2 linked regions of the Callithrix jacchus genome follow. The protein of the gene in region 2 interacts with the protein of the main gene of each other region in a pairwise test. Links are inferred from orthologs where the notes say so. Each region holds a gene or a part of one and is shown on either strand. Other genes may lie near its edges. The genes, in order: DYNLT3 and DYNC1I2.

The links.
Region 1: the proteins of DYNC1I2 (region 2) and DYNLT3 interact in binary tests that used the Homo sapiens proteins (3 or more experiments, as listed by UniProt). The two-hybrid records come from large-scale screens. The link is inferred for Callithrix jacchus from reciprocal best matches to the Homo sapiens genes DYNC1I2 and DYNLT3.

Annotation. Positions count from the first base shown.
Region 1 is NC_133524.1:38,617,526-38,633,593, forward strand, and holds DYNLT3 (dynein light chain Tctex-type 3), read right to left. Parts: upstream 14,572-16,068; 5' UTR 14,537-14,571; coding exon 14,507-14,536; intron 13,374-14,506; coding exon 13,332-13,373; intron 9,285-13,331; coding exon 9,161-9,284; intron 8,489-9,160; coding exon 8,411-8,488; intron 8,092-8,410; coding exon 8,015-8,091; 3' UTR 6,280-8,014; downstream 1-6,279. UniProt on the Homo sapiens protein: Acts as one of several non-catalytic accessory components of the cytoplasmic dynein 1 complex that are thought to be involved in linking dynein to cargos and to adapter proteins that regulate dynein function.
Region 2 is NC_133507.1:57,799,621-57,816,292, forward strand, and holds part of DYNC1I2 (cytoplasmic dynein 1 intermediate chain 2), read right to left. Parts: intron 12,718-16,672; coding exon 12,658-12,717; intron 9,874-12,657; coding exon 9,758-9,873; intron 8,739-9,757; coding exon 8,694-8,738; intron 555-8,693; coding exon 459-554; intron 250-458; coding exon 87-249; intron 1-86. UniProt on the Homo sapiens protein: Acts as one of several non-catalytic accessory components of the cytoplasmic dynein 1 complex that are thought to be involved in linking dynein to cargos and to adapter proteins that regulate dynein function.

The sequences.
Region 1 (16,068 bases), on a different chromosome or scaffold from region 2:
GAAATAAATGAAATAATAACTGAAAAAGATGACAAATTATTTGCAGAAAATACAGTTCTTTGCATAAGAAATCAAAGAGAATCAAAAGAAAACTTACTGGAGTAACAAATGAAGTCAGTAGGATTTCTGGATACATCAACGTACAAAGACCAATATATCAGAAATAATCAAATGGAAAATATAAGAGTAAGAATTCCATTCAAAATAGTTAACAAAAACTATAAGACATCTAGGTACAAACAGGTGATATCTTTATAGAGAAAATTATAAGACGATATAGAAGAATACTACATAAGAAAAAACTTAGATGGAGAATGACACTGTTTATTGATGGGAAGACTAAATACCTAAAGTTGTCTGTAATCTCTGGATTAATAAATTTGATTAAATCTGAATCAATTAAATAAAAAATTCTAAGAATTACAGAGCTTGATAAACTAATTCATGCCAAAGAGTAAAGATTGAAGAATGGCCTGGACAATTCTGAAAAAATAAAACAAAAAGGCAGATCATACTTTGTTAAGTATTGGAGCTTATTATAAAGCTATAATAATCAAACAGAGTAGCATTGGCCTGCAGACAAATGGAATAAAATAGTTCAAAAACAGACCCAGACCCATGCATATATGTGAACTTGACATTTGATAGAAATGGCATCCTAAATAAGTGAAGTAAAGGATGTACCACTCAAAAATGGCATTTGACTTTTTAACTAAAAAAAAAAAGCTAGACCCTGGATAGGTGCGGTGGCTCATGCCTGTAAATCTCAGCACTTTGGGAGGCCGAGGCTGGTGGATCACCTAAGGTCAGGAGTTCAAGAGCAGCCTAGTCAACATGGTGAAACCTTGTCTCTACTAAAGCTACAAAAAATGAGCCGGGCATGGTGGTGGGCACCTGTCATTCCAGCTACTCAGAAGGCTGAGGCAGGAAAATCGCTTGAACCTGGGAGGCAGAGGTTGCAGTGAGCCAAGATCATGCCACTGCACCCCAGCCTGGGTGACAAAGCAAGACTCCATCTCAAAAAAAAAAATCCTTACACCTCAATGTAAAGAGTAAAAGCTTAAAAATTATACAGGAGAACATAGGAGAGTTCTTATGATCTCTGAGCACAACTCAATAAAAAGCTATTATAAGGCCGGATGCAGTGGCTCACACCTGCAATCCCAGCATTTTGGGAGGCCAAGGTGAGCAGATAACCTGGGGTCTGGAGTTCAAGACCAGCCTGATCAACATGGAGAAATCCCGTCTCTACTAAAAATACAAAATTAGCTGGGTGTGGTGGTGCATTCCTGTAATCCCAGCTACTCAGGAGGCTGAGGCAGGAGAATCACTTGAATCTGGGAGGCAGAGGTTGCTGTGAGCCATTGCACTCCAGCCAGGGCAACAAAAGCAAAACTCCATCTCAAAATAAGTAAATAAATAAATAAGACTGTAATGTTTATCTTATATTTTAGAAAGATAAACTAATAAAAATAAATAGGGCAACATGTTAACATTTGGTGAAAATGGCTGAAGGAATCTTTTTTTAAGGAACAAAACAAAACCTCAAGGAATAACCTGGCCTAGAAACTCCTTCTAGGATTGACGGTGACAAATTGCTCCAAGTTCCTCAAATGGTGGATAGTTGAAAATTGAATTTGAAAACATGTTTTCTGATTATTTTGGATACATCATACTCTATCACCAATGATAGAGTGAATAAAGAGCAACAGATAAAGTTTATGAAATGCAGTGCTGAAAGTTAAAGATAATGGCAAAAGGAACCAGAATGCTAGAAATACTCAGCAGAAGCTATCCTGGGTCATTTTGCAAAATTTTTATTCATGTTTGGAAGTAACTATATTTGTGAACAGCTGTTTCTTCAGGACAAAACTAAAAACTGAATAGAGCTATATACTGCTCCCGGTTAAGGAAATCTAGGCTAAATTCTTTACTGCTCATCACAAAGACCTTGACATTAACATCTTGGGCCTGAAGAAAAATGTTCTCAGGCCCACATGAAATGATTAGAATATTATAAAAGGAAAACTAAAAATTTCCTGTTTCTATTGTTTTTTAAATTTCAAATTTAAGACATAACAATTTCCAATGTTATACAAATTATTAATACTGACATCAAAGCTTAAAAAAAAAGCTTAATTTTATTTATAACAGCTAATTTTTCTAATACCATATATATTAGCCACCTGCTCCCTGATGGCACACTTTTCCACCTGCAATACGGGTTGGCTGCTCTGCCATCTCACTTTATCTTTCATTATGTCTCTACCCAGTGTTGCATGAAGGAGGGTAGTCAGAATGGTCCTCCCTGGGGATATGCAATAAGAGGGTGCATTGTCTGGAGGTAATTTAAAGACAATAATAAAACTGACCAAAAGTTGATCTGCCTTTAAAACGTTTTTGTTATGAAATTATCTTTATTTTGCCTTCATTTTTCATTGAAATTTGTATTGATAAATAGACTTATATGCAATTGTAAGAAATAATAGAGATCCTCTGTATTTGTTTCCCAGTTCCCCCAGTGGTAACATTTGCAAAACTGGAGCACAGCGTCACAGCTAGGATACTGGTATTGATAAAATTTGATTTTATGCAGATTTACCAGTTTTATTTGTACTCATTTGTGTGTGTATTTAGTTCTACACAATTGTATCACATCTAGGTTTGTGTATCCACCACCACAGCCAAGATACTGAACAGCTCCAACGCCACAAGGATTCCTTGTGTTGCCCTTTCATAACCATACCCAATTCCCTCCTGCCTCCTGATGGAGGAGGTGCCTCTCCTTTCACCATCTCTATCCTCTGACATCCACTAATCTGTGCCCCAAATTTTTAAACTATTGTTTAAAAATTTTGTATACATTAAATCATACAATATGTATTCTTCTGAGATTGGCATTTGCTTTTTGTTTTATTTTGTTTTGTTTTGTGACAAGTTCTCAGTCTATCTCCCAGGCTAGAGTGCAGTGCCATGATCACAGCTCACTGCAGTCTGGACCTCCTGGGCTCAGGTAATCCTCCTGCCTCAGCCTTCCAAGTATCTGGAACCACAGGTGCACATCACCACACTGACCATTTTTTTATATTTTGGTAGAGATAGGAGTCTCCTTATGTTGCCCAGGCTGATCTCAAACTCCTGGGTTCAAGAGATCCTCCTGCCTTGGCCTCCCAAAGTGCTGGAATTACAGGCCTGAGTCTCTGCACCGAGCTGAGATCGGCTTTTCTACTTAATATAATTCCCCGGAGAGTCATGCTAATTGTTGCCCTTGTCAATAGGTTGGCTTTTTTGTTTGTTTGTTCTTAGTAATATTCTATTTATGTACCATAGATTGTTAAACTATTCACCCATTGAAGGATATCTGAGTGGTTTCCAGATCATTGCTATTGCTTATAAAGCTGTTATGAACACTCATGTCTAGGTTACTGGTCTGATTTTTATTATCACCATATGATGGAAATTCTGTCATCTACTGGAGCAGACTATTCCCATCCTGTTTCCTGCCTAGTACATCATGCTGTCTGCCACAATTGCTGCTAATACCATTATCAATACTGCTGCTGGTGTTACTGGTATTGAAGCTTGGACAGTCTTCCCTACATTGGAGAGTGGAGGAGAGCGACGAGGGCATCTGCAGCTGCAGCTCTGCCATTAGGAGAATGTGGGCTAATCCTTAACCAGACCCAAGTGTTTCTGCTTCTCTCTTCATCTGCTCCCTTCTCCACCTGTCAACCAATACTCTCCTTATTTTCCAATCCAAAATTCAGAGGGAACTAGTTTGCTTGGATTAGCTAATGTACCGGCCGGCTTATGGGTTTAAAATCCGTCTATGGATAAACCATCACCGGGTCAGGTGATCATGCCTAATGCAATATGTAGTCACTCCTAAGTAGAGCATCTATTTCCCTAAGCTGAAATGCAGGATTGTTTGATCTGTGGGCTATGCAATTTCTGCTAACAGGAGGGATTGAATGGGGCATGACTGCAATGTCCAGTATGCATGGAAAATTCCCTAGGAAAATTTACTAGGTAGATGCCCATCTTAATCATAAAGTAAGCAAAAATTAATAAAGGATCCACAAAATGTTTAATTGTTATAATAATGTTCTTCAAAAAATATGGTTGTAAAATGAACTCCATGATAAGAATGAGGGAATGTGTTCTCTTTCCAGGTCCACGAGGGGGCCTAGTTTTAAGGGCAAGAACTTCCCAGCACCAAGGCTGACTCCTAGCTTTCTCCATCCAGGTGATTTAACTGCTTAAATTTCCGCAGTCCAGGAAAGGGTCAAAAGTCAATTACTCCAGCAGATGTTCTAAGGAACTTCTTTCATTGGCCAAGGGACTTGTGGAGGGGGGGGGAGAATTCCTCCCAGGTTAAAATTCCCTGTCTCCCCTCCTCCAGGTGGATTTTCCCCCCTCTGGGGTCCCCTTCCTCCCTCGTGGAAGCTGCTTTTCATCTCCTAAACTCCATCTCTCTCTATTCCCTTCCACTCAGTGTGGAAGCTGTCTTTCCTCTCCTGGATTCCATCTTTCTGGATTCTCTCACTCAGTGTGAGAGGAGCTTTCCTTCTCTGGTTTCCCCCTCTGGGAACCCTTCTCACTCAGTGTGAGAGCGGCTTTTCTTTCTCCCACTCAGTGTGAAAGCTAGCTGTTTCTTTCTCTCTCCCTTTTCTCTCTCTGCCTAAATAAATCACTTTCTGCAAACACTTTTTGAGTCCAGTATTTACTTTACAAGCGTACTGCACCGTGGTCTCCTCCACGTGATAGATCAAGAACCTGGAAAAACGTCCTCTCAGGGGAGCAATAGAGTGAGACTTCACCTCAAAAAAATTAATAGATAATTTCATAAATGTGCAAAGGTTAACTTCACAGAATTACTCGACATTAAATCCTCTTTAGCCACAAATATAGGTCCACCTTATAGATTATAAAACAAATGCCCCTTGGGTGGATTCTAGCATGTGAGGTGAAATTTTCAACTTACCTCTTAATCTTTGTTTTGTCTGAGATGGAGTCTGGCTCTGTTACCCAGGTTGGAGTCCAGTGGCACAATCTTGGCTCACTGCAACCTCCACCTTGTTTCAAGCTATTCTCCAGCCTCAGCCTCCCAAGTAGCTGGGACTACAGGCATGCGCCACCATGCCGGGCTAATTTTTGTATTTTTGTAGAGAAAGTGTTTTGCTATGTAGCCAGGCTGGTCTCAAACTCCTGACCTCAGGCGATCCACCTGTCTCAGTCTCTCAAAGTGCTGGGATTACAGGCATGAGCCACCATACCCAGCCTTAATCTTTGCTTTGGTATCTAAGAAAGACTTCTGCCACAAAAAGTCACAAATTTTTCTCACCCTTTTTTAAAAAAAAACTGTTATCAAAAATAGATAACTATTTTTACTCAAACTTTGAAAATATAATCCTAGGCAGCCTAAGATTAATGTAAGAATGTAATGATGAAAACTGGTAGTAATAATATGACTCTTAATTAGGTAACACTCAACTTGGAAAGAAAAGCAGAAAAGTACTTTCACTAGAGTAATTGTAATCAGAGGTTGCCATCATTTAGGCAGCATATGGGTACTTTACAAACATAAAATTAGAGTGTTACAAAAATCCTTTGAATACCCTAATTTTACTAACTTAAGGTCCTCAATTAAAAACAACAATACAATTGCAAGTTGACAAATAGGACAAAATCCGTTGCAAAAAATAATCATTAAAAACGAATGGTTGCAGAATATGTTTTTGCACTTTTTGAAAATGAAATTTTGTGTTAAAATCATAAAATAAAAGGCATAAACCAGAAGCTATTATATTGTAATGGTAAACACTAGATTGAGGCTGCTATTTTAATGGTAGTTATTCTGCATAATATATTTATATGGTCCCATATTCATTTCTCTTCTCCATTTCTCCTATTTAGATTTCTTTTTTCTTTTTTTTTGGAGACGATGTCTCTCTCTGTCGCCCAGGCTGGAGTGCAGTGGCGTGATCTCGGCTCACTGCATCTCCTGGGTTCAAGCAATTCTCCTGCCTCAGCCTCCTCAGTAGCTGGGATTACAAGTGCGTGCCACCCCACCTAGCTAATTTTTGTGTTTTTAGGAGACAGGGTCTCACCATGTTAGCCAAGCTGGTGTTGAACTCCTGACCTCAAATGATTCACTCACCTCCCAAAGTGCTGGGATTACAGGTGTGAGCCAACTCACCTAGCCATTTCTTCTATTTAAAATTGCTAAGAGCAAGCAGAATGTCATTTCTCTATTAAATGATTATCCAGAAGCAAAAGTACAGTGCAGGAAGATAATATTTATTATATTTTAACTAGAAACAGAGTAGATGGCAAGTTCACGAGGTACGAATTTTTTTTTCTTAAATCAGGCTTCAACAATAATAAAAAACAAGTCTGCATATATATTTTGGTCACTATTATAATCTTCAAGGGCATGAAAGCCAGCAGCATAAAGAAACATGAAAAATGACCGAGATTTTTGATGTTCCCAAAACAAAGATCACTGCATTAAACTCCTTTATTTTGTTAATATTATTCTTAAACATTGAACAATTGTTATTGATATTCAGCAAAATATCAAACATGCACGTGGTATTCCTACAAGAATATTGCCTTAATATCATCAATATTAACACTAAGCTTATTCCTCCCCAAAATTCAATGAGTTATGGTTCCACTCTCTATATGTATTAGTGTTAGTGGTAATATGCAAAACTGATTTTGTTTTCAAGGTTAAGTAGCAAATTGACTTTGCATTTGGTGGCCAGCTGTGTACCCTAATTTTTCATCTATTTTCTTAATAAATTTAATTACATTTCATAAGCCCTGAGATAACCTGCTAATGATTGTATACTTTTAATCTATCTCTATTCCACTCAATTTGAACCTCACATAATAAGTCTTTAAAATTATTTACAGATGGTTGTAACTAAAGCAATGATAAAATGTACTACTTATATAAATAAGACTGATAATAAGGCCTTTAACTAAGAGTTGCATATTTTATATGCACTTTTAACTTGCTAGGAGCAACTCTTAAAATTTTGTCTATAATTCTGTCAGAAAGTAATACGCGCTTTTCATTTTGCTTACTTCTATGTGTGGCCAGATTCATTTTCTTTTTCCTCCCTTGTAAAACAACTATTTTTTTCCTTCCCCAAATATTAATACTTGTCTTCCAACTGAACAATTGCTAAAAGGAACTTAGCATTTGCACAGCACATTGATAACTACAGTGCTTAGCAGATAAATATCCCCATAATAGGCATCTGATAAATGTTTGTTCAACATGGAATGAGTGAATCATAAGGCAGCTATTTGAGTCACATACTCTTCATCCTATACTGTAACTAACTTGGTTTAACTAGGAAATTCAGTTTAACAGATTTAATTCACCCTCAAGTGTAAATCCAAAAAATTGAAATTAAAAGCAAATTGATTTGCTAATTCTCAGAAAAAGTAAACAAGTTAATCATAGTTGTTACTACACTATTACTTGATAGAAAAGAAAAAGAATTACTTTCCACTAAATATTATGTACAACTCAGTGAGGGGAAGAAAGTTTAAAAAAAACTAAAAGATGTTAGCTAATTCTCATTTTTTTCCACATTTACCCTTGTAGATTTTTTGTTCATATATTTATTTCTGTTAACTTCTCTAGCTGAAAGAGAATTTTATTATCTGAATGGAGTACCCCATCACCTTAGGTACAAAATATTAGTGAAAAGCTGGTGTAAATGTAAGATTGTATTTTTATATCATACCATATATCTGCATTTATATTTTGCTAGAATTCAATTTTTCTGATTTATATGATGTTGTATAGAAAATGAGATAATCTGCCAATAACTATGATATTGCTTGCTTAGAATAATCAGTTTTTGTTGGTAACTCTAAAGCATATTGCACGCTTGTCATCTAGCACACTAATAAATAACTATTACTGTTTTTTTTAAAAGGATACACTGACAAATTCTTAAGTTAATGGCTTTAGCCCAATATTTGTAGTCAGTTAAAGAACAATAGCAATGGCAAAAACGTTGACAATACAGTTCATGGTACGGTTCTCCCATCTTACAGTACAGGTTCCTGAAACACAAATGAAAGGATTTTGAAATACCAGCAAAATATATATGGAATATATATGAGAAAATACATATACTATCAGGAAAAAAACATATATATATATATATATACACATTTTTTACATGTTTTAATATTTTATTTCCTTCAACCTGTTAAGTCTTCACATTTCATATTGGTCTGAAGGTATACTTGTTACTAGGTACAAAAGCAATACTGTTGATAGTCTTTTTAGAATTTAATTAGAATTAAATATTTGATTAAAAAGGGCAGTTTGACTTTGCTAAAAGTTGGATTTTGTGTAAATCAGCTTAAGGTCTCTTACCATCAGATGTGGTATCCCAAAAACAGGAGCTGGCGGTGTGAAAGCCATATGCACTCTTCTGGACCACTGCACAGGTCACTGCAAATAAAGTCACAGAATGAGGACACTTACAGACAAAGGGAAAGAGAACCAAAGTCAAAGTGTGTGAGTTCAGAGCTCTATAAGCTGTAAAAAATTAAAATAGAATAAAATACAGAAAACAAAGCATTCAGCAAAGAGATTGAAGAAAATAAAAGACTATCATCTTATCTACCATCATGATTTTGACCCCATTAGATTCAGCTGGTTTTTTTTTTAACCAATGTCATTACCATTGGTGATTGTATTGCAGGAAAAAATATCAGTCAAATTCTGTGCTTTGTACCATGGGCAGGATTCAGACGCAGAAATGCAGGAAATATTCCACTTTATAAACAGTTGCTGTGTGGAATTTCTTACAGGTAAAGAGGCATGGGACTACTGAAAGAAAGAGTTGGGCTAAGAGGGCTTCAGTGGAAAGAGAGAACTGATGCAAATGCAAAGGGTGATGCTACCAACGACAAGTAGCTGAAACTGTCTTTGAGTAGTGAAAGATCTTCATCTTTTAAGTATTATTACAGACTATACTATCTTTGAATGAGTAAATCAGAAGTCCTTTATATCCTGTAGTATCCAACTTAAATGTCTATTGCTCATATACCTTCTCAAAATTCAGAGACAATCACAATGACAAAGGCAAGTGAACTAGTGAGGAAGGATACTGATACTTACCAATATATTTATAAGCTTTACCCAGCTTAACCAGATGTGTTAAGGACTGTTCCACTATGCTTGCAGTCCACTGGTTGATGTTGTTGTGATTATAATCTTCACCACCTAAAACCCCATCTACACACTAAAACAGCAGAAGACAGTTAAACTAGCCAAAAAGAACAATTTTTATACAAATTGCAGTAAATATTTATTCAAAACATAAAATATACTTATAGCTCAATGAGGCATCTTAGAAAATATACACTTGGTAAATATTGATTATGCATTGTCTCTAATTGCTTAAGAGTTTTGAAAGAGTTTCCACATACATTATCTCAGTCTATGAGATACTATGGGCCATATAGAGATAAATATGTCATGGCTTCTGTGTAAACAACTTAATCTAGCAGAGATGCTAATAAAAAAATTGTATTATCTGTAGCACAAGGAAGACTAATGATAAATTATGTCATAGAAAATTATGGTGGGGAAATAAAAAGATGATATCAATTGGTTACCAAGTGGCTTTGAAACAGCTGGGATTTGAACTAGAGTTCACATGCTAGAAACATAGGCTGAGACTAATTTAAAAACATAATTCTTATGTATACTAATTATATTCTCATTCATACTATGTGATTGCTTAGCTGTGAAACAACTAGCACACTTGCCACTGAAAGTAAATAAAGATGCTCTCGAAAAAGAAAGTCAAATATTGTAATTTCCCATAATCTTTAATTTTATCCACTTCTGACATCTGATTAAAAGCACTGGCTCTAGTATCACAATCCTAGGTTTTAAGGCCTACTTTGACACCTATCTGCTGTGTGACCTTTAGCAAGTGACTCAACCCGTTCAAATCCCTATTTCCTAATCCTTATAGTAAGGATAACAGCATCATCTTATCAAGTTGTTGTTAGGAGGAAATGAGACAATGAATGAATACCAAGTGCTCAGTGACTAGCACAGCATTAGCATGTAAATGATGTTAACTACTATTATCATATTGCTGCTGTTATATTTTACATTTGAGTGATGAAGCCAAGATACTAAAGCACTCATTTAATTCATTTTTAGAATCTAACACACATATGCAGCTTCATTTACTATAATCAGACTCATAATTCATTTTAAAATCTAGCTTAATAATACACACATACACACACATGCAGCTTTATCATTAGACCGCAGTAAAGATTTATAAAGGCACTAATACAAAATCTTAAGTTGGGTAGTATAAAATCTTCACTAATGACAAAATATAAAAGGATAAATTAAATGTTTTAGAAGCATTGACAAAAGTAATGTGGCTCAAATTACTCTCCTAGAAAGCTCAATACCATGACAAAGTAGGAAGGGCAGTGGCTTAAGGATCAGGGGAATAGGATTTTAATTCTGGCTTTATCATTACTAAGCTGATGACCTCTGGACAAACCTATTTCTCTCTTGTGATCACCTTTCCTTAAGGAGAAAGTAAGAGCACTCATTTTTCTTTCAGGTTATTTAATAGGACCACTCCAAGTTTTGCTCTAAATAGCAGAAAACACCATGGGGTGTGGGTACCACTGTAAATAGCCCTGCTCATTACTATTAATTAACATTTAGCCTAATTAATTACATTAACATAGAGGCCCACTAGACAATGCAGTCCTTAAGCAGGTATTTAATAGATGTTTGATGTTGAAGCAATGTTGGTTTTGATATACTCTCTGGGTATCTTAAATACACTTTAGACTAAGGTCCAAGTCAATTTCATTTGTAGCTCACTTTTTCTTTGAAGGTTTCTTGAGGAAGCAATTTCCATTACTAACAATAAAGAAAATATATGCATATTACTGATAAATGAGTATCCCTCAGTTCAGCAGGAAAAACATATTAGCATAGGGGTTCAGAGCAAGAAATCAAAGGAAAGAAAATAAGATCAGTAAGGAAATCAGAAATAACTGCTGAAATTATGTAATCATCTAGGAAGTGCTAAAATGTTTTAAAATGCTGCTTATTCCCAGGCCTTTCCAATGTCTCAATGGAAGTGTTTCAATGGTAGAAGATTGGTTCATGGGAGGACGAAAGAGGATAGACACGTAGCTGCAAATAACCTGTAGCAAAGCCGAGTTTCTTTGCAGTCTCATACTTCATATAAAAATTCAAGAGAAACTTGCTTTTAACGACATAATGCATCAGTTTGTTTTTTTAAAAAACTGTTTTCACTTAAATTACTTACATTACTTAACTCTGTCTCACAAATATTCAAGGAAAACTGATGCTCTAAAATACATCCAGTGACTTCTAGCATCACCTGGCCACTGCCAAGTATGTATTTCCCAGTTGAAAAAGCATGATTCTTTTAATTTGATACAATATTAAAGTAACAGGCATATGGTTTGAAAAATCCAGTGGAACAGAAAAGCTTAGAATGAAGAGTCCCCTCCCCACCGTTTCCTTTCCCATTCTCAGTCCCATTCCCCAGAGGAAACTCATCAGTGTACGACCATTTTTATTTCTTCTAAGGGTTACTTACATATCTCCAAATAACATTTGTGTCACTATTTCTTGATTTATGAATTATAGGCGACATCCGTAACTCCTACTACGATAGATGAAAATTTGGTTCCTTCAGACCACCCGCCCCCTTCTCTCAATATAGTGAAATCACAATTTTTTTTTAACTTAAATGTATTTACACTGTTAGAAACCTGTTTCCTTTCCACTCTGGGTGTTTTCTTCCACACAGAGGATTGTTCTTTAACATTCCTGGCCTCTTGTCCTGTCAGTTATTCCTCCCTATTGAGGTGGAATGAGTTACCTGGTTGGTAGGTGATAACCATCGTTTTAACATCTCATTTGGCAGAGCCAGTCTCCCAATGTGTTGAACTTGGGCTTTAGTTTCTCCTTCCCACTCCACCCAAACCAATGAAAGGCACCAGCCTGAACAAGTGTTTCTCTCTGCTGACTCAAATTTTCTCTTGGATGCCTCTTCCCAGGGCTGAACTGAATGGGAGTTAGCAAAACAAGCTACAATCACCAACCTAGTTTTTATCAATAATAAAGGTGATATTTTGTTCTCTTTCTATTGGCTCTTTTTTTCTTTTCATTGGCTCAGAACTTAAGCAAGGAAGAAGGCACTATCTAAATGAAATCCCAAAGAACCCAGTATTCTTTCTTTCATGTTCCATCAACCAAGGACAGTCTTTCCCGACTTTCCACTTCGAAAATTAAGATCACTCCCTTCTCATTACCTCCACTCCCTCTTCCACCTCCCAGTTTCCCTCATTTGTGCTTTTGCATTGTAAAGGTATCAGAAACCTTTGCATTCTACTTTCAATAATTAAATATTCCTGGCTACATAGATAGAATGCATAATTCTGAAGTGTTAAAATATGGCAAGATTTTCAGGTGCCTGTCTAGACCTTGAGTTAATTCTAGTTGTATAAGGTCAGACCTTGGTAAGGTGTTAAAAAATACCTTACCAATATTGTAGTCTGTATGTGATACCTCTAAAATAATGAAAGTTCCCTTGCCAGAATTAATTCCCAAGGATAATTTCTTTTCTATTTGCCTAAAAGGAGTTTCAAATACTTTCCTTTTCCTTAAAATTTTGATTTACCATCATATCAATGTTTAAGTGATCATTTTTCCTATTATACTCGGCAAAAAAGTGTACATGCCCGAAGGCAGATATTTCTAGGACTTTTGTTATCTATTTTATAAAATATACATATACATTATACATATGCTTTGTAAAAGTCTCTATGTGTGTACATATATACACACATACATATACTTTTATAGTGTTAACATTTAAAACAATGTTTGCCTTCTGGAATAAAAGTTCTTTTATCCAAAAGACAGGGTATCATTTTTAAACCAGTTTTCTAGACTAAGAAAATCCTTAGACATCTCTTTCAGAGTAAGCCCCAAGATGCCAATAGCACACAAAAAAACATAGAAGCACCCCTATAAAGAGTTAGTGGATAAATATTTAAAATCTTGTTCTTGGCTGGGTGCAGTGGTTCACGCCTGTAATCCCAACACTTTGGGAGGCCGAGGCAGGTGGATCACCTGAGGTCAGGAGTTTGAGATCAGCCTGACCAATATGGTAAAACCCTGTCTCTACAAAAAGTCAAAATATAGCTTTTAAAAATCTCGACCAACACAGCAAGCTTCAGGAGAAACAACATGTATAACTCACCTCTTTGACAATATTGTGGGCTTCCTCAGCATTGAAGCCAACCTAAAGGGAAAACAAAAGGTAAAGCTGCTTTCAACACAGGCTTGCAGATATGACGCTACATAGAATACCTTAGGCTGGCCTAGACAGGTGGTAGTGACAGGAGACCACAGTGATAAAGAGCACCAGGTCTACAGAAGCGGCCAATCTTACCCCTAAACACTTAAAACACTGAATGCTTTCCCTACCTACCACCCTGGAGAATGACTCATGAGGTCTGGGGTAGAGCCTGCAAGCCTACATTTTTTTTAAAAAGTGCTTTATACTGGTGATTCTAATGAACATCCTAGATTAAGAATCATTGTATTGTAAAACTCAGGAAATAAGCAAGAAGTGGCTATAAAGAGGTTATGTGTTATAAGAATATAGAAATAGTTTCAGCTAAGTGAAAGAATAAAGTGGTCCATAAGAAAAGAATGCTTAATAGATTATTTTCAATTTTGTTTTTAACTTACGTTAGGCAAAAATTTCTTTCCTAAATTAAAGATGATGAAAATACTTGATAACTCAAAATTAACATCACTTTAATGCTATAAAGTGGTCTGACAACTTAGTCTTTTCTTTAGAGTCCCCGTCGATAGCAGGAAGATAACAACTGACATCATGGGGTTCTGGTGAGGGCTGGGAAAGCCTGAGTCAGTAAGCAAGGCTTGTAATCCATAAAGCGCCTCCTTCCAGCCCACCCAGGCAAGAGTTACCGGGAGTGGGAGTGGCAGTGCCTCCAGGACACCGAGACCGCGATCGACGGGGGCAGCAGCACCTTCCCTGAGGACGCCAAGGGGCTGAGGAAGCAGCGGGAAGACCCGTTTTCGAGGCCCGCCCGGTAGAAGGGCGGAGCCCGCCACCCCATGCCCACTCCTAGCACCCAAGTTAGGCCTCGTCCTCCCAACCCTGCCCCAACCCCACCGTCTGATCCGCGCCCTCCTGGCCACCCCTGCCACCCCGAATCTCAAGACTTCTGGATGGGGAGAACGGGTCGGGCGGGACGGATCCCGGGCCCAGGGGAGAGGACCGGGGCTCGGAGGACGCCGCACCCAAACTCTTGGGGCCGCCCACGCTGGGAGACCACCCGGCAAGAGCCCCGAGCAGAGGAAGGCGGGAGCGGGGGGCGCTTTCAGGTAGCCAAGGGGCGGTACCTCGTCGCAGTGGCGATGGTACTCCTCCATGGTAGCGCCGGCTCTCCCTGGGGGCGGAGCGACGCGCTGGTGGAGCACCGCGGCCGCGCAGTGGCCTCCGGGGAGGCCCCACCCCCGTTTATGGCCTAGGGCCTTTCCCTACGCAATCCCCGCCTTTGTGTTGCAGTGGCGTCACCTGGCAACGCAGGGCTAGCTCCCGGCAAGGCGTCACGTCAGGTCACGCACCCCTTCCTTGCTTCCTCTGCCCTTTCTGGAAACAAGGGATGAATGTTAAAGAACTGGGAATGGCGCCAGTGTGGATCAGATGGGGTGACCTAGCGGCAGTTAATCTAGACTCCACACTATTGGTTGAGTGCCCACTGCTGTGATTATTTACATATATTTGGCCATTCACCATCATCTGGCACATAAAAGTGTAGTTAATGTCGTGATAAACCAGCCGCTTTGATTTGTCCACTTACTAGCTATGCTACTTGGAAAAATTCACCTCCCACAGCTTCAGTTTTCTCATATGGAAATTTACTATCATACCTATTTCACTACTGGTTGTAAGGATCGGATGAGATGCTATATACACAACTCCTAAAGTAAATGCTTCTCAGCTAGACAACAATCGCTACATTTATTTTAAAGTTGTTACTTTCCAGATAATCCTAATCACTTCCTCAAAACCTCACCATCAGCCAGAAGAGTTCTTCTGTCACTGCTTTTATCAAGATGAAACTGAGGTACAGAGAATTTAATTTGCCCAAGGTCATACATCCAGTAGGGTGTAGAAAAGGGACTTGAGCTCAAGTAATCTGATAGCAGAACCCAAGCTCTTAACCACTGTATTAGTTTCCTATTGCTACTGTAACAAATTACCATAAAGGTAGTGCCTTAAAGCAGCACACACTTGTTCTCTTACAGTTCTGTTACCGGTGGAGGGTGTCCAGGTTCTTGGAGCTTTGAACAAATGATTGGACAAAAGGCACAAACAAAGGAAGGAAAGAATGAAGCAACAAAAGCGGAGATTTACTGAAAATGAAAGTACACTCCACAGGGTGGGAGTGGGCGGAGAAGCCGTTCAAGGGCTGGGATACAGAATCTTCTCAGGTCCAAATAACCCCTAGAGGTTTACCATTGGCCACTTCGTATTTATCCCATGTAAATGAAGTGGTGGCCCACAATCACAGGGTGAAGTGAAGTTACAAAGGCCACACTCCTATGCAAATATCCGATTGGTTGCAAAAAGCAACCAATCATAGGTACTTTCAATTTCTCATCTGCCCTGAAGAAAAGGTGGGGGATTGCAAAGGGAATAGCCTCAGGTCCTTTTGTTACTTAGGCCTAGAAAGTTCGTTTTCCTTTCAATTTAATTCTAGGAAGTCAGTGTGAAACAGTCTTAAGTTCCCTGCCTCTTGATCCTATTCTGCCTGAGTTCTCGGGGTCAGAAGTCTAAAATGGGCCCATAGAGCTGCATGACTTCTGGAGGCTCTAGGGCAGACTCTGTTTCTTTGTTTTTTCCAGCTTCTAGAGACTGCCTGCATTCCTTGGCTCGTGACCCCTTCCTCTAAATTCAA
Region 2 (16,672 bases):
AACCCCCCCAAAAAGATGATGTTATAACTTTTATCACTCTTAAATTTAACATTATTGGAGCTAAAAATCTTAGCATTAAACATTACCCTTCTTTGTCTTCCAAATCTCTCCCACTGTAGTCAAAGAAGATGTTAATCTGCTCAGAAAGAGCTCTTTCTACAATTCTTGTAGAATGGTCAAAGAAACTTAAAAATTCCTCAGAGTGTAAGATTTGTTGCTTTTCTTCTTCAGTCAGCTCATGAGGGGGAGCTGAAAAACAAATAATTTTTTGAAGTATGATTTATGTCAGGCAAATCATGTCAACTCACTATCACAGTATGGATCAATGAATGTTACACATTCTTTTTCAATCAGATTCACTTTTTTGATTTACAGCATTTTATACTACTTTAATACATAAATAATGAAATCTTAACAGAAATCAACAAAATTTTTTAAAGTTTAATTCTTTAAGACACCTTTACTATCATTTTCCTCATCTTTCTTCAAAGTTTTCTCTTCTTCAGGTTCAATAGGTGGTTTAGGAGCCACTACATCATCATCTTCCTCTTCATCTGAAAAAAAGCAGAATGATAGAATTAATTATTTTAATGAAAATAGTACTTTGAGACAGTATTTCAGAGGGTATCACAACTCCCAAGATAAAAGCAAAAGTAAACCAATGACAGGACAGAACAAGTACAAATAATAGGGATTTTTACCAACATAGTCAAAAATTAAGTAGAACATTTTGGTTTTTATATATACCTATGCGGTACCTCAGCAACAGCCACCCTAAATTCTGTAGCTACATAAACTGAAATAAGATATATATGCAACTAGGATGAATTCCTCATGAAGTCTCTAAAAGCTTGCCAGCATTTATCATTCTAGACAGAACAACATGCAACTCCTGCATAGTTTTATATAGCATGCTGACACATTAATGCTGTAGAATGAGGAAAATCAAATGTCTAAAATAGCCTACAGAGCTGGCTGCTTACTTGTGATCTGAAACCATCAGTGTCTAATGGGTCTTCATATGGCATAAAGACAGCTTACATTAACTCTCAGGTTGCTATTTGAGAGGCAGATTTTGAAGATAATAGCTATAAGACCACATTTTCTATTCTGTCATTTTAAATGCAAGTCTCATTATCTACTGTTATATGATGTGGCAATAAGCACTTAATGTTTTCTTAATGTGAATAAAAATATACACTGGGATAATATACAGTGTTTATAAGACTTCTAAAAAATTACTAAATCTCTTACATCACAAATAAGAATTTAAAATAATTTATTTAAAAATGTTATAGAACACATAACCCTGCCTACCTTTTCTTTTGCTACACATTTAGATGGGTTTTTATGAAGAAAATGTTTATTTTTATGGCCTAAACACATGCGTTATTTGTCTATAAGGGAAAGGCAGCAGGCATCTGCAGCAGAGTGCAGCTCAAGTAATGAGAGCCTATTCAATAAGGGGACTTTACTTGGTAGTTATAGTCATTTCCCTGACCCATGTTCAAAATTATCTAAAACACATATATACGACATACACAAAAGAATGGTCAAGAATGGAAACCAGCTGCCAAGTCATGGTCCCAGCAGCCAGGCCAGCTGACTAGATAGCAACAACCAGATGGCACTGCTGGGATTACGTCTTTCTGCTACAAGGTGGCAATGGGATGGCATAACATTCTTCCGCTTGACTGCTTCCAATCCTGTGTCTCTCCCCAATGGTGGGCCTGTGCAATTACCCGCACTCCAGGAGGCCTAAAGACAAGCCTTTACCCTGCAAACAAAATGCAGCTTGTAGGCCACACCAGCTGCCAAACCACACACACAGTGTTAGGTTTTGAGAGCTATGAAAATCTTTCTAACTCTGAAGAACAAGCAATAAAAATATAACTGTACCTGTGGAAAGAAAGCTTTAAATGACACTGTATAATGCACACAATGATACAACCTCCATCCAACTTAATCAAAATGATAATGACGTATGCCAATCCTACATTACTTGAAATTGAGCGATTTTTACGTTCTGACAAGTTTACAGAACTAGGATAAATGGCACGAGTGATTTCAATATATGCTCATACTTTTGAACCAAATGGTGAAGGTTAAAATTTTTCCTTTCAAGGGCCTCAATCAGCCACAAAGGAAAACAGTAATCACTGTCTTTTCAGCCAGCCCAACCACATTTGTCAGTCCTCTCTCTGTCAATGCAGCCAGAGCAATCAACCTGCCAAACATTCAGAATGGAAAAACAATCTGAAAATACAGGGTATAATGCACCTGCCAGTGAAAATGGCCATTTCAAGAAAAGCTAGTGATCTCAGTGACCCTGCTGAGGAGGCGGTGGTGCAAAGGGGAAAGAACACGTAAAAGAATTCTTAGTGATCGCCATTCTCTTGCACATTGACACTTCCTTACAAAGCATGCCAATTACAGCTTTTGTGCTACTTAAAAAAATGAAAGCTTTTTGGGGCAAAATAATCACACAGAGAAACAGAAAGACACTACTCCTTTTTAGATGAATTCTCATGTACAACGAATTATTAATCTGAAAATAGTATAACTGGTAGCAATTCTACATGATACCACTCAAGCATTAGAATGAAATTCTTCCATAAAGTCACCTGCAGGTGTAATGTAATAAAATAATTTAATTACATTTAACTTATAAGTTGTCTTTTAGAACAGAACATCTCCTTCAACTAAAAATTCACTGTTAGAATATACATATATTTTCCACTTCCTGCTAATGCTACCAGTTATCCTAATCAAGTCTGTTTACTAGTAGAGTTCACTGTATGTAAATCCTAAAATCAAAGATAGGGATTTTGAGTCACCCAGGACAGGTCATTCTTGAGCACTGTGAATTATAAATTACAGCCTCCTACCCACATCTTATTCTCCTCCTTCAACTTTGTTGTATTATACGGCCTCTAAGTACCATTTCCAATGACAGGTGTCAAATTCCTGTCATAATGCATATGGTCAGTACTTTAGTGCTAAGTGACCTCATAATTTACATATTTAACAGAAAAGATCTTGTTTATAGACTCTCTTTTCCTTTTAAAATTTAAAATGTAGATGTAGTATGTCAGACAGTGATCTGTATCTGTGTACTCAACAGCATTTGGCATGCCTATTTGTCCATCTAAATTATTTCAGTTGTAGCTGAATAATGAGTATCAACTATTTAAATACATGCTCTCAGGGTTTTATTTTAGAATAAAAGTACATACCCTCCCTTTCTACATGGATTAAAACCAGATTTTAAAACTCTAATTGGTACTTAAGCTTCATAAAAATGATTAAATAAGTTTCAAGGAAAATAAAAACAAATGATACTGCTGTTCTTAAAAACTGTAAAATGTGATATTTTTGCTGTAAGGCTAATCTTAAATAATTATAATATTTACCAAGTATTTCACAAAAATGTCTGATATCAATAACATCAGATTAAAGGATGTTCTTCTGAAACAAATATGCTTTTCTTGTTATAAGCTAATATAATAGCTACCAAAGGACTATTAACATGGCCAAAAATATAAAACTGCAGTCTAAAGATTTTCTAAGCTAGTCCTTATTACATGATGAGCTATATTTAAAACTGGGAAAGACTGTAACAGAGCAGGAAGACTGAAAAATGGGGTTGCCAAGTCACATCAATTTATTGATGAATATTCATTATAATATGCTAAGTGGTTAACTCCATGCTTTCTCTGACAAGTAATCTAAGGTTATAAACTGAGCAGTAAAGAGTGCATAAAAGTAGCAGTTACTTTTAAAATGACAAATCTCTTGTAAATGAATGCTAAAACTAGGTTTAATGAACCACTGAATTTTACTGAGTTAACATCAAAATTGTGACATATTTTGGAGAGACAGAAAGAAAAGCTGTTTTGTAAATTAAGCTGCACCTAGAAATAACACTAAAGAATGAAATTCCAAATACTCTGGTTTCTCTTCAGATCGTATAAATTTTTCACCTTTTACTAAAGAATGAAATTCCAGTTGTTGAAATAATCTGTTACAATGGAGTAGGTTAATCAAAGTTAAATCATCTGTGAAATGGGTAGCTTTTGTTAAACTAAAGGAAGAAGCCTTCAGAACAAGTTTTCTCATCTGTACCTCACAGCACATTTAAGATACAGTTTACATTTAAGATACGTTTAAGGTAAGCTAAGAGTATTTAAGTATTTAAGGTAAGCTAAGGTAAGTCACAAAGCATACTTTGAATTATTTTAAAATATTACAAGACATTTAAAAGATAATATACAGTATCTTAGAAAATCCTTACTGAACAAACATTGCTACTTATGAATCTATCACTTAAAATGATTATATCTCAATATGAAGCAAAAAAACAAATCCCATCGTTAGTGCACTGTTGTTTAGGAAATATGTTTGTTGTCTATCAATTTACTATATAGTTTTATTATACTGGACAACAGAGCAAGACTCTGTCTCAAAAAAAAAATAAAGAAAATATTAAAGAAAAATTATTCCTATGTAATCTCTATTTTTTTAACTAATGATTAAAGCATATTCCTTTGATGATTAAAGCATTTTCCTATAATATTTTCATATTTTCTTCTAATATTTTAAAATGCATCCCATTTTAAGATAATTTAATATCCTATGAAAAATTCCTAATTTACAAGGTAGTCTGATTATTCCTGGTATAAAGGAAGATGACACTGAGTTCTAAAAGTCAGGACACTTGTGGCATATAAAAATATGATTTGACTTTAGAAAATTTCAACTTATGAATAACTTCACAAACATCTATGAAAATATTAGATGAAAATGCTTTAAATCATTAGTTTAAAAATACAGATTACATAGGAATAATTTCCCTTTAATATCTTATTTTTTTTTAGATGGAGTCTCGCTCTGTTGCGCAGGCTGGAGTGCAGTGGTGCAATCTTGGCTCACTGCGACCTCCACCTCCCGGGTTGAAGTGATTCTCCGGCTTCAGCTTCCCGAGTAGCTGGGATTACAGGCACACACCACCACGCCTGGCTAATTTTTGTATATATATATTTTTTATATAGCAGAGATGGGGTTTCGCCACATTGGCCAGGCTGGTCTTTAACTCCTGACCTCGTGATCCACCTACCTCGGCCTCCCAAAATGCTGGGATGACAGGCGTGAGTCACTGCGCCTGGCTCTCATTTAACATTTTCAAAAAATCCCTTCTTTTCTGGAGCAGTTTCATTTTGAATCACTCTATTTAAATCCATTTGTGCATAATTTCACCTTCTTATACTTTACTCTTTAAAATCAAATACATCTTTAAGATAATCTTCGCTGGGACAAAGCTTCATGAATGTACCAATGGAATCCATTCCTTTTTTTACACCATCTAGAATAAGATGCCAGGTCACCTGGTTTTCTCTGGCTCTTCAAGGAAAAATACACAGCTGACTTTTTAATCAGAAATTATTTCAATATAGATGTAATGCTAATTTGGGGGGGAAAGGATTAATAGTTTAATTATACCACTTCCTTTAACACAAAATTTGTCTCTCTGTAGTCTTTTTTTTTTTTTTAAGAGATGGGGTCTTGCTATGTGCCCTGGCTGGCCTCAAACTCCTGGGCTCTAGTGATCCTCCTGCCTCAGCCTCCTGAGTCCCTGGGACTACAGGTGCACATCACTTTGCCCAGCCATAGTCCTTTTTATATAAAATTTGGGTTTTATTTGGCAGTATTAGCACCCTTACGTAGACTTTGTTATCTGTCATCTCATCAAACATTACATTTTTCTGAGGCCAGGGTTTCAGATTTGCTGATTAAAGTCTTTCAATCAAGATTAAGAACAAATGCTTCAATTTTCAATTATGTTTATATCCTTATAGGTCCTCTGAGGGCTAAAACTAATTTATTAAATGTGTTATTCATTCCAGAATCTTTTAAAAATCCATTTTAATCAATTAATTTATTTATTTATTGGAGACAGAGTCTCACTCTGTCACCCAGGCTTGAGTGCAATGGCATGATCTTGGCTCAATGCTACCTCTGCCTCCTGGGTTCAATTCTCCTGCCTCAGCCTCCTGAGTAGCTGGGATTACAAGTGTGTGCCACCACACTTGACTAATTTTTGTATTTTCAGTACAGATGGGGTTTCACCATGTTGGCCAAGCTATAGAGCTAATCAACAGGTATTGAGGAAAAATATTTGGCTATTAAGCCAATACCAACAGTAATTACAAACTCCTTCACAGATAGGAAAGTGGAATGCAATAAGAGAAATCGTGCTTCACTAAAAATCAAGTGCCAGTTTCTGGATGTATGCCCAATATTCTCTCACACTGTGGACTTAGGCCCACTAATTAATCTCCTTGAACCTCAGTTTCCTCAGATGTAAACAAGCTGATTAAATTAGATAAACTTCAGGGTTTCTTTTTCCTTTAATGAGCTTTCAAAAAATAGTTTAAAAAAAAAACCCATACAGAATAAATAGGTAAGAAAAAATAAAGCCATTTTCAAAAGAGTTAAAACTTTTAAAAGGCAAAGAAAGTAACTTTTCCAGGAGTATTTCTGTGGGCACCACGTTCCTGCCAAGAGAAGCTTTTCACCTGCAGAGAAGAAAATTGACTGAAGTCATGTGGTACTAGTCAATTTTATTCACAGTAGGTGCTTTAAGATAGCAAAGCACCGCAGTTCAGAAACAGTACTACCAACTTATAGAGTAAACTTGAAAGCAAGAAGATGGCTAGAACAAGGAATAAGAAAAACAAGGCAGAATAAAAACCGCTTTTTTAAAGGAATAGGCTTGGCCATTTTTATTTTAAAAACATACAAAAAAAAGATAAGAGTTAAGTCTATGACCAATTTTTAGCTTCAATTTGGTAAGTCACATTACTTCTGCATGGATTATACTGCCTACCCAAGTTTAATTTGCTGTTTGTTACACTCCAATTGTGAGTTCACCAATTTTGTTTCATGGTGAGTTGTGGAATTCATTACATAATTCTGAAATGGGAACCAACCAGGCGAAGTTTGATTGCCAAGGTATTAAAGTGATGGGTAAGCAAAGAAGAGTTAAGCACACAGTGTTTCCATTATAAAATCTTAATTTCAAGGTTTTTCTCTTTCCCTCTTTCTAAAACTTACATAACTTGGGAAAAGAAACTTAATGTAAGAGCTCCAGACATGAAAATAACTGTAATGATATAGAAAAGAAATTATCTCATTTTTTTCCCCCAAAGGATACTGCCCGAATATCTCATTTTTATAAACATTTCCAAAGGTTAAGGATAGCTTCATGGTATCAGGATACAATTTTTTTCTTTTTCCTTCACCTATATACCTCAACCTGTAACTAAAAGGACAACAAATCCAAAGAAAGGATAATCTAGTGCCTTTATATACAGCAAATACTCAATAAACTATACTCAAATTCAAATAGAATCAGTGCTAAATATAAACCGAACTACTTACTATAGGTTACTATCATAAAAACATGAGTTGCTGCTTCAGTGGTGAGAGAAAGCACACCTTAGAATCAGTCAGATTTGGTTTACAATCACAGCTATTAGCTACGTAACACTTGACAAACTATTTCTTTCAGTTTCAGCTTCTTTGTGTGTAAACAAAACCAATACCTAACTTTCAGGGTTTTGGTGACAGCATTATAGATGATGCAAAGTGTCTCACACTATGCCTGATACGTGGTAGGCACTTCTTGGTGTTATAATTTTTAGTCACCAATTTAAATAAGAAGTTTGGAGACATATTCATTGGAACCAAAATATTAACAATGGATCATACACAGAAGAATCAAAAATGTTTCCTCTCTATATCCTTTCTGTACTTCTAAATTCTCTATGATATACGGCTATAGTAATTAGAAAAAACTATTTTTAAAAAATGAAAGTCTTGGCTGAGTGAGGTGGCTCATGCCTGTAATCCCAGCACTTTGGGAGACCAAGGTGGGCAAATCACTTAAGGCTAGGAGTTTGAGACCAGCCTTGTCAACATGGCGAGAGACCCTGTCTCTACCAAAAATACAAAAACTAGCCAGGAGCGGTGATGCATACCTCTTCTCCCTGCTACTCATGAGGCTGAGGCAGAAGAATCACCTGAACCTGGGAGGTAGAGGTTGCAGTGACCTGAGATGGTGCCACTGCACTCCAGCCAGGGTCTCAGAGCAAGACTTCCTCTCAAAAAAATAAATAAATAAAAATAAAGTACTCGGACAAAAATGTTGTATCAATTTCCTCAAAATTTTGAAACTGTAATTATATGCTTGACTCATTAGCTATTTATAATGCTTTCTAGTTTTACCAACCCTAATTTTATTATTTTTTTGAGATGGAGTCTCGCTGTGTCACCCAGGCTGGAATGCAGTAGTGTGATCTCAGCTCACTGCAACCTTCTCCTCTTGGGTTCAAGCGATTCTCCTGCTTCAGCCTCCCAAGTAGCTGGGATTACAGGTGCCCACCACCAGGCCTGGACAATTTTCAGAATTTCATAGTAGAGACAAGATTTCACCATACTGGTCAGGCTGGTCTTGAACTCCTGACCTCAATCAATACACCTGCCTTGGCTTCCCAAAGTGTTGGGATTACAGGCACTGAGCCACTGCACCCAGCCACAATCCTAATTTTTCCTAGGTATATACAAATATGAAAATTAAAAAATTTCTTTTGGTAGTAGACAGGGTTTCAAGGATTTCTCCTCATTTTGCTTACCTGTATTTTCTTGGCTTTCTGCAATAAATATAACTTTTGTTTTTCCTTAATGGAGAAACATGATAATTTAATTAAAAATTACAAAATAAATTAATTTAAACATTTAATAAAATTTCTATTCCCAAACTGTTAGCGGCTCTAAAATCCACAACTCATTTGGTGGTAAACACTGACATGACCAGAGATAAAGCTATTTATAGTCATTACTTATTTCACTTAGTATACTCATATGCTTTGCTGCCAAAATATTAATGACCAAGATACCAATAGAGTTTTCACATATGATACAATTTTATTACTTTTCCATAATCTGAAATATTTGGAATTCTAATATATATATGGCCCCAAAAGCTTCGGGTAAGATACCGAAGTGTATTAGGGATCTCACATAAATCTTTTTTTTTTTTTTTTTGGATGACATAAATTCATTAGCCTCACTGGGAAAACGAGATCACAGGACCTTATGCTTGAATCATTAGCTATTTTAATGCTTTCCAGTTTTACCAAAGGGTCTCCACATTCATTATGTCTGTGCTTACTTCCCCATATTTTACACAAATTACAGGCTACTAACTAATCAACATAATACAGCCCCTATATCATAAAAGAGAAAGTTTAAAAATTAAGTCTAGATTCATTTATTAGTATGAATAACATCAGGATACACTATGCTATTCAGAAATAATTTACATGACTTTGTTTACTGTGGGACCCACTCTTTTTTGGGGAAGAATCATGCTCAAAATTATGCTTAAGCGTTTTGGCTTCTAAAAGCAGTATACATTAATGACAATATAAAGACTCAAAGACTTAAATTTATGTTAACAAAATTAAGAAACCACACATACAGCTTACAATGTTAACTTCTAAGAGAACAAGTATTAAAACTCTAAAAAAGAAAGACACAGTGCAGAAACTGTAAAGCATTATTTTCTCATGTTTCCCTAAAAAATATGCCAAAATACAAAAGAAAAAAGACATAAAAGATAAACCAAAGGAAGAAAAAAAGAATATGTATTTAACATAGGTGCTCAATGACAATTATATTAAGGATAGATATTCACCTTCTTTGGGTTGAGCCATAACTGGAGTCTGAGTTTCCTTTGTATATGTGACAATTTCTCGAGGAGGAAAATCAACTTGAGTGATTTTAGCCATTCCAAGTTTAATAGGTCCTCTTCTAAATTAAGTGAATAAAAACAATACATTTTAATTACATCAAACCATGTTATTTTCAAAATTAAGAAGTAAACAGTCCTTTGCACCCAACATTGTAAATTAAATTAAATCCATTTTATTCAAGAAATTTTAGATTAACGATAAACTGGCTGTATTTTAGCAAAAGAATTAGAAGGTAGCAAAGGCAAAAGATATTTCTGAATCATTCAGTATTTTTATTTTTCATTTTAAAAAGCCAAGTAATTTCATTATTTAGAATAAATGTGTAAGCAATAATGAAGTAAGAGGATAGGAACTTCAGAGTGGACCACTGAATAAGGTTGTTAAAAGAAACTGGTTTCAGCTGGGATATGGTTCTTTCTGGACTTTTTTTTGAAGAATCAGACATGGATATCACTCAGACCACATTTAGTTGATCTCGCCAAAAGGAGAATTCAGCTTTACAACTGAAAAACAGGTTCCTATTAAAAGCCTTTTTTCTACTTTTATTTGGCAGAAATGGAGAATTACATTATCAATTTGAACTTTAAAAAGAAATATTTAAAACTTTTAAATCTCTAATCTCTGCATGATCAATACTGCCCTTGATTCATATATGGACAAACTACAAAAAAATTCAGATATTCTACACCTAGACTAAAATGACAGATCTTCTGAATACCACAAATCTACTAAAATCACTTCTGTTTTAGTTAAATATAAGGAATACATTCTTTTTTGATAATGGAAGAGCGCTGTGGCTGAGGAAAATGAACGAAAAGAAAAATATCTTTTATTAGTTATCTGGGAGATCTTTTATTGGTTATTATGTTAGATGTTTAAATTCTAAACCAAATAAAGTACACTTCCAAACTCCCAAAAAAGTTCTCAGTTATGAAGCTGCCTTAAAAAGATATGCAATAAAGACACTGTTGTAACTTCCAGAATATGAAGCAGGCTATCACTGGTAAGAGAAATTTTTTCTTATATAAATACTCTTTTCAGTTCTGTTTAGTAACTAAATCCAAGTCCTGTACAATATAATAAAGCATAAACAATAAAGTATTATAAAGTATAAAGTAATAAAAAAATGTGGGCCATAGCAATTTTTTAATGTCTCTTCTAGTTTAAAAAAAGGTGGGGGGGAAGCATAGTCAAAGAATTAATTGGACAAATTAAGTAATCTGAAGTAATCTAGAAGTCTAAGAATAAAATTTGAAATAAGAAACTTTATATTCTGATTTTTAAGATGCAAATTATATAAAAAAGTAAATCACTCACATATCTGGAAAAAAATCATCAAGCCAACTATATTAGAAACAAGTTACCAACGTGAATGCATATAGAGACTAACAGACAAAAAAACCCCACAATATTAAACAAACAAAATATTCCAAGATTTTATAGGAGGAGGTGGGTAGGGAAGTAATACCTCACTTATCCAAAAGACACTTTTACTGAAAATAAGAAAACAATGGGAGGCGGGAGGGGGAAGCCTCAATGTGGCCAATAAAGAGGTCTTCCAGTTCATGTACGAGAAACTCATGTATTTTTCTTATATGCCTAAAATCAAGGCTCATTTACTCTTACTTAAGACACAATTCCAAAAGGTATAGTCATATATTTTAGAAGGTATAAGTTATCAGGGGAAAAGGGCTATCTGAGTCAGGCAAGATGGCAAGCAAACATTTAAAATTTGCATTAGGATCTAGAATAAAATGAGTGAATGAATGGATGAATAATCTTATCTCTATGTCAACAAAATTTAAAAACCATACATATAAGCTTACAGTGTTAACTTCTAAAAGAACAAGTTTTAAAACTCTAAAAAACAAAGACATACATACAGAAACTATAAAGCATTATTTTTCTAATGTTTCCCTATGAAAATATGCCAAAAAATAAAAGCAAAAGAGACGGGCTGGGCGCAGTGGCTCACGAAGTCAAGAGATCGAGACCATCCTGGTCAACATGGTGAAACCCCGTCTCTACTAAAAATACAAAAAGTTAGCTGGGCATGGTGGCACTCGCCTGTAATCCCAGCTACTTGGGAGGCTGAGGCAGGAGAATTGCCTGAACCCAGGAGGTAGAGGTTGCAGTAAGCCAAGATCATGCCATTGCACTCCAGCCTGGGTAACAAGAGCAAAACTCCATCTCAAAAAAAAAATAAATAAATAAAAATAAAAAAGAAAAGCAATAAAGAAAACAAAAATGAAAGAAAAGAATCTATTTAAAATAGAGACTTAATGACAATTATATTAATAATATTCATCTACACATTCTATGAAGAGTAATCTATTCATCCATTCACTCATATATTTATTCTAGATTCAACCATTCATTCATTTATTTATTCTAGATTTATGAATGAACAGTAATGAATGAATGGTGTAAGGACCAGCATCTCCATTACTCTCAAAATCTAAGAAATCGTCAGTGAATTTTAATATAGAAAAATAAATTAATATCCATACCAAGTAACCCTGAAAAGGTTCAATTTCATGTAGACTGTGTATTAGAAAAAGTCTGAGAAGTTTTTAAATAACTCTTAGAAAACTTATCTTAAAAATACAGATATAATTTTAAAAGTTTGGACACTTCAATGGACTTAGGGTAACTAGAACATCACATGGAGAGAATATTCTTTCATTAAAGATACTGGATAAATGAGGTGTCACAGTAAAATATAACTCTTGTCATTACTACATGATACAATATTACAAACTTAAGCAAAATAAAATTAGGACAGTTTCACAAAGAATCAAATTCATTATAAAACAGGGAAGGTAGAAAATCTATTCAATACCCCAAATCGGAATCTGAGTGAAGCTGAAGAACTGATGGATCTGTATCCCAATGCAGCGTCCTAAATGGTTGCAGGACAACCATGAAGCATTAGCAAAAAAGGCCATAAGTTAGTCAAGCAAATACATTCTACGAATAGCTAAAGCTAAAGTACTGTTCACAATTAAAAACTACATGTTCTGGTTAGTATTTTTTAAAAAAACATCAAAAAACAAAACAAAAAATCTACCAGGTCACTCAATCATCCAGTGCATGCAGTAAGCTTACTACGGTTAAAGATGCAAGCATATACCCCAGAATAGTAAAAAGACATTATTTACAGACTATGGGAAACTAATATTGTATTCAGAACAGATCTGCTTCAGAACAACTAAAGCAGACAACCCAAGTAATTATTTATGGATAACAAGCTAGGCTATAAAATGGTTGAAAATTCAAGATTTCTAGTGAAAAAAGACCACATTTAAACATCTTAGTTAACGTATTCTAATCTTCCCCAAAGCATTAAATGTGTGCAGGAAATTGTCATACTGGTAAAGGAAATGAGTCAACACATAAGCCTTTTGGTAATAAAACCAAAGACTATCCCACTGGGATACAAAATAGCTAAAGTTTCCAAAATGTGACCCTTCTGTAATTTATGGGTTAAGCACTGCCTTGGGCTTACATATCATCTGCTTAAGAAAACAACTAAAGATTTCTGTCTCTAGGAAAAAATACATTTTTCCCTGGAAAAATAATTTATGTTCAAATATCAATTCTAAATAAATATTTAGTGATAAGTGTTAGCATCATCTACTGGCTAAGCAACTTATAGAGGATCTTTTCCAATTAAGCCTAACAAAGTTACTAGTAGAACAAAAGGTACTTTATCATACTGGCATTTATGTAGGTTAGCAATATATAAGATAATTATGCACAGTACAGTCTAATGCTCATAGTCCCCATTTAAAAAAAGTTAAGCATAATACATTTAGTACTACCATTTTTATCAAATATATTTTTCACTTATCTAAGATGTTATAACGTACAACTAGTGTTAGTTGCTACAATGTTTTAATACAACAAATGGTTTCTCTTACCTGCCTATACAATTTATCAAGAAAAATAATAATGAATTAATCTAGAGAAATCCTCCATTTAAAAAACATAAAGAAAGATCTTGGAATTTAAACAAGATTATGTGTATGCAATGTAAGAAGCAGCCACAGTGAAGATCTACTTTGTACTAAGCAATGAACACAGCAACAAGCTTAGGCTTTGTTAAATCAAAAGAAGTTCTATGAGACGGTCTCCAAGGAATGTTCTGTCAATAGCCTTTACATTATGTAAGAGATCTGCTATCAATGACATAAAGTTCCTTGTTGAGGATGTCATTTTAGTCTAAAATCAAGTAAGACTGTACCTCAAAATACAGCCAGTACTGAAAATCCATTGGATGTGTACATGATTATATTTATTAAGGGCATCTTCAGACATACAATTCCAAGTACAAAGCCTGAGAAACAAACTGATCAAAAATGGAAAAAAGGGCCAGGCACAGTGGGTCACACTGGTAATCCTGGCACTTTGGGAGGCCGAGGTGGGCATATCACTTGAGGTCAGGAGTTTGAAACCAGCCTGGCCAACATGGTGAAATCCTGTCTCTACTAAAAATAAAAAAGTAGCCAGGTGGCACACACCCGTAATCCCAGCTACTGGGGAGACTGAGGCAGGAGAATCACTTGAACCCAGGAGGCAGAGACTGAAGTGAGCTGAGATCACACCATTGCACTCCAGCCCAGACAACAAAGCAAGACTCCAAGTCAAAAAAAAAAAAAAAAAAAAAAGGAAAAAAGGAACAAGAGGCCTGGATTACCCTACTAAATAATTGTTCCTAATTTTCGAGATAACAAATAAAATGCAGCTCCCTAATCTGCAAAGTTAGAGAGAGATCATTTCTCATGGCCTTTTAAATTTATTCTTAAATTACCATCAGTCCCAAAAGAAATTCTTGGCGCTTAGAGTGATTCAAGCATGTTTAGATAGCATATTTTATGTTGTATCTATTCCTACTCCCTACGTGTACTAATCTTAGACTGCATTGGCCAACTGAAGTTTTCATGTACAGGTGCATGCATACGTCTCACATGTCTTCATGCATTTTCCTGTATTTCTTCTTATTGTCTTTATTCTTACATTAGCATCGTTTTTGCTCAACATGAGTTCATTAGGTTTCATTCTCAGACCTGGGAACTCTTTTTAAACATCATATATTCAGAAATGTTTTATTTCACTGTCAATATCATCATCACAACATTAATTATCTCTATGAAAGCTGTATATGATTTAGGTAGAATTCATTTTTTATTACTGCGTATGTGTACATATACATTAAAATGAATATACTCAGCCTTCTTGAAAATTAATGTTTTCAACTGAGTTTGTACTCTCAAAGGAGACAATGTACATATTAAGGTTAAAAAGATGTGGCTGGGCGCAGTGGCTCATGCCTGTAACCCCAGCACTTTGGGAGGCTGAGGTGGGTGGATCATCTGAGGTCAGGAGTTCAAGACCAGCCTGGCCAACATGGCGAAATCCTGTCTCTACAAAAAATACAAAATCAGCCAGGCCTGGTGGTGGTACATGCCTGTAATCCCAGCTACTGAGGAGGCTGAGGCAGGAGAATCACTTGAACCCAGGAGGTGGAGGCTGCAGTTAGCCAAGATCGTGCCACTGCACTCCAGTCTGGGAACAAGAAGGAAACTCCATCTCAAAGAAAATTTAAAAAGATGTAAGATCACCTCATTCAAAAAGAGGATTTTTCTCTCTGATAAACTCACAAGAAGCTAATTTTGTATTCATTATCTAACAAGAACAAATACTTTAAAAAATATTAACTTTTTTGGTGTTTCCAATTTATCACTTTAATAAACTACAGTTCACACTAAATATAGGTTAGCACACTACCCTGAGGGCTTTTCAATAAAGTCAACAGTATCTTTAAATTAATGATTCAATCACTATAATGTAAATTCCATGAAAGCAAGGACCAAGAATGTTTTATCCTTTGTGGTAACCCACAGTATTTAATAAAGTTAATAACTTAATGAATATTCGTTCTATGCATGAATATTTTTCTTATCAGTATTACTCCCTGTATTAATTTACAATATTCTAACAGGTCTCTAATATCGTCTGGGCTCTCCATAAAACTCATGGGAACATGTTTTAATTCACATTAATTTAAAAAACTTAAGTAGGTGTCACAAAGTATTTTTGAAAGCAAACTTGCTGACACTGAATTAAAATAATCTTTCTACTATTCAAAATCAGGAACAATTAGTTATAATGTACACAGTATAGTATCTACATAAAAATAAAATACAATATCAAAGACATTTAATAAATACAGTAATTTTTATTCCTGGGAACTATTTTACTATGGTAATGTTGTAGAAGGGGAAAAAAAAGCCTTCACTTAAAAATGCCAGTTGATTATTTTTTTTTTTTGAGACGGAGTTTCGCTCTTGTTACCCAGGCTGGAGTGCAATGGCGTGATCTCGGCTCACTGCCACCTCCGCCTCCTGGATTCAGGCAATTCTGCCTCAGCCTCCTGAGTAGCTGGGATTACATGCACGCACCATCATGCCCAGCTAAGTTTTTGTATTTTTAGTAGACACGGGGTTTCACCATGTTGACCAGGATGGTCTCGATCTCTTGACCTCATGATCCACCCCCCTCGGCCTCCCAAAGTGCTGGGATTACAGGCGTGAGCCACCGCGCCCGGCCCGCCAGTTGATTATTAAGTATCTAAAGGAATAGTGGCTGGGTACAGTGGCTCACGGCTATAATCCCAGGGAGTCAGAGGTGGGTAGATCACTCGAGTACGGGAATTTAAGTCCAGCCTGGGCAACATGGCAAAACCATGTCTCTACAAAAAATAAAAAAAGTAGCCAGGCATGGTGGCACAAGCCTGTGGTCCCAGCTAGTTGGGAGGCTGATGTGGGAGAATCACTTGGGCCCAGGAGGCAGAG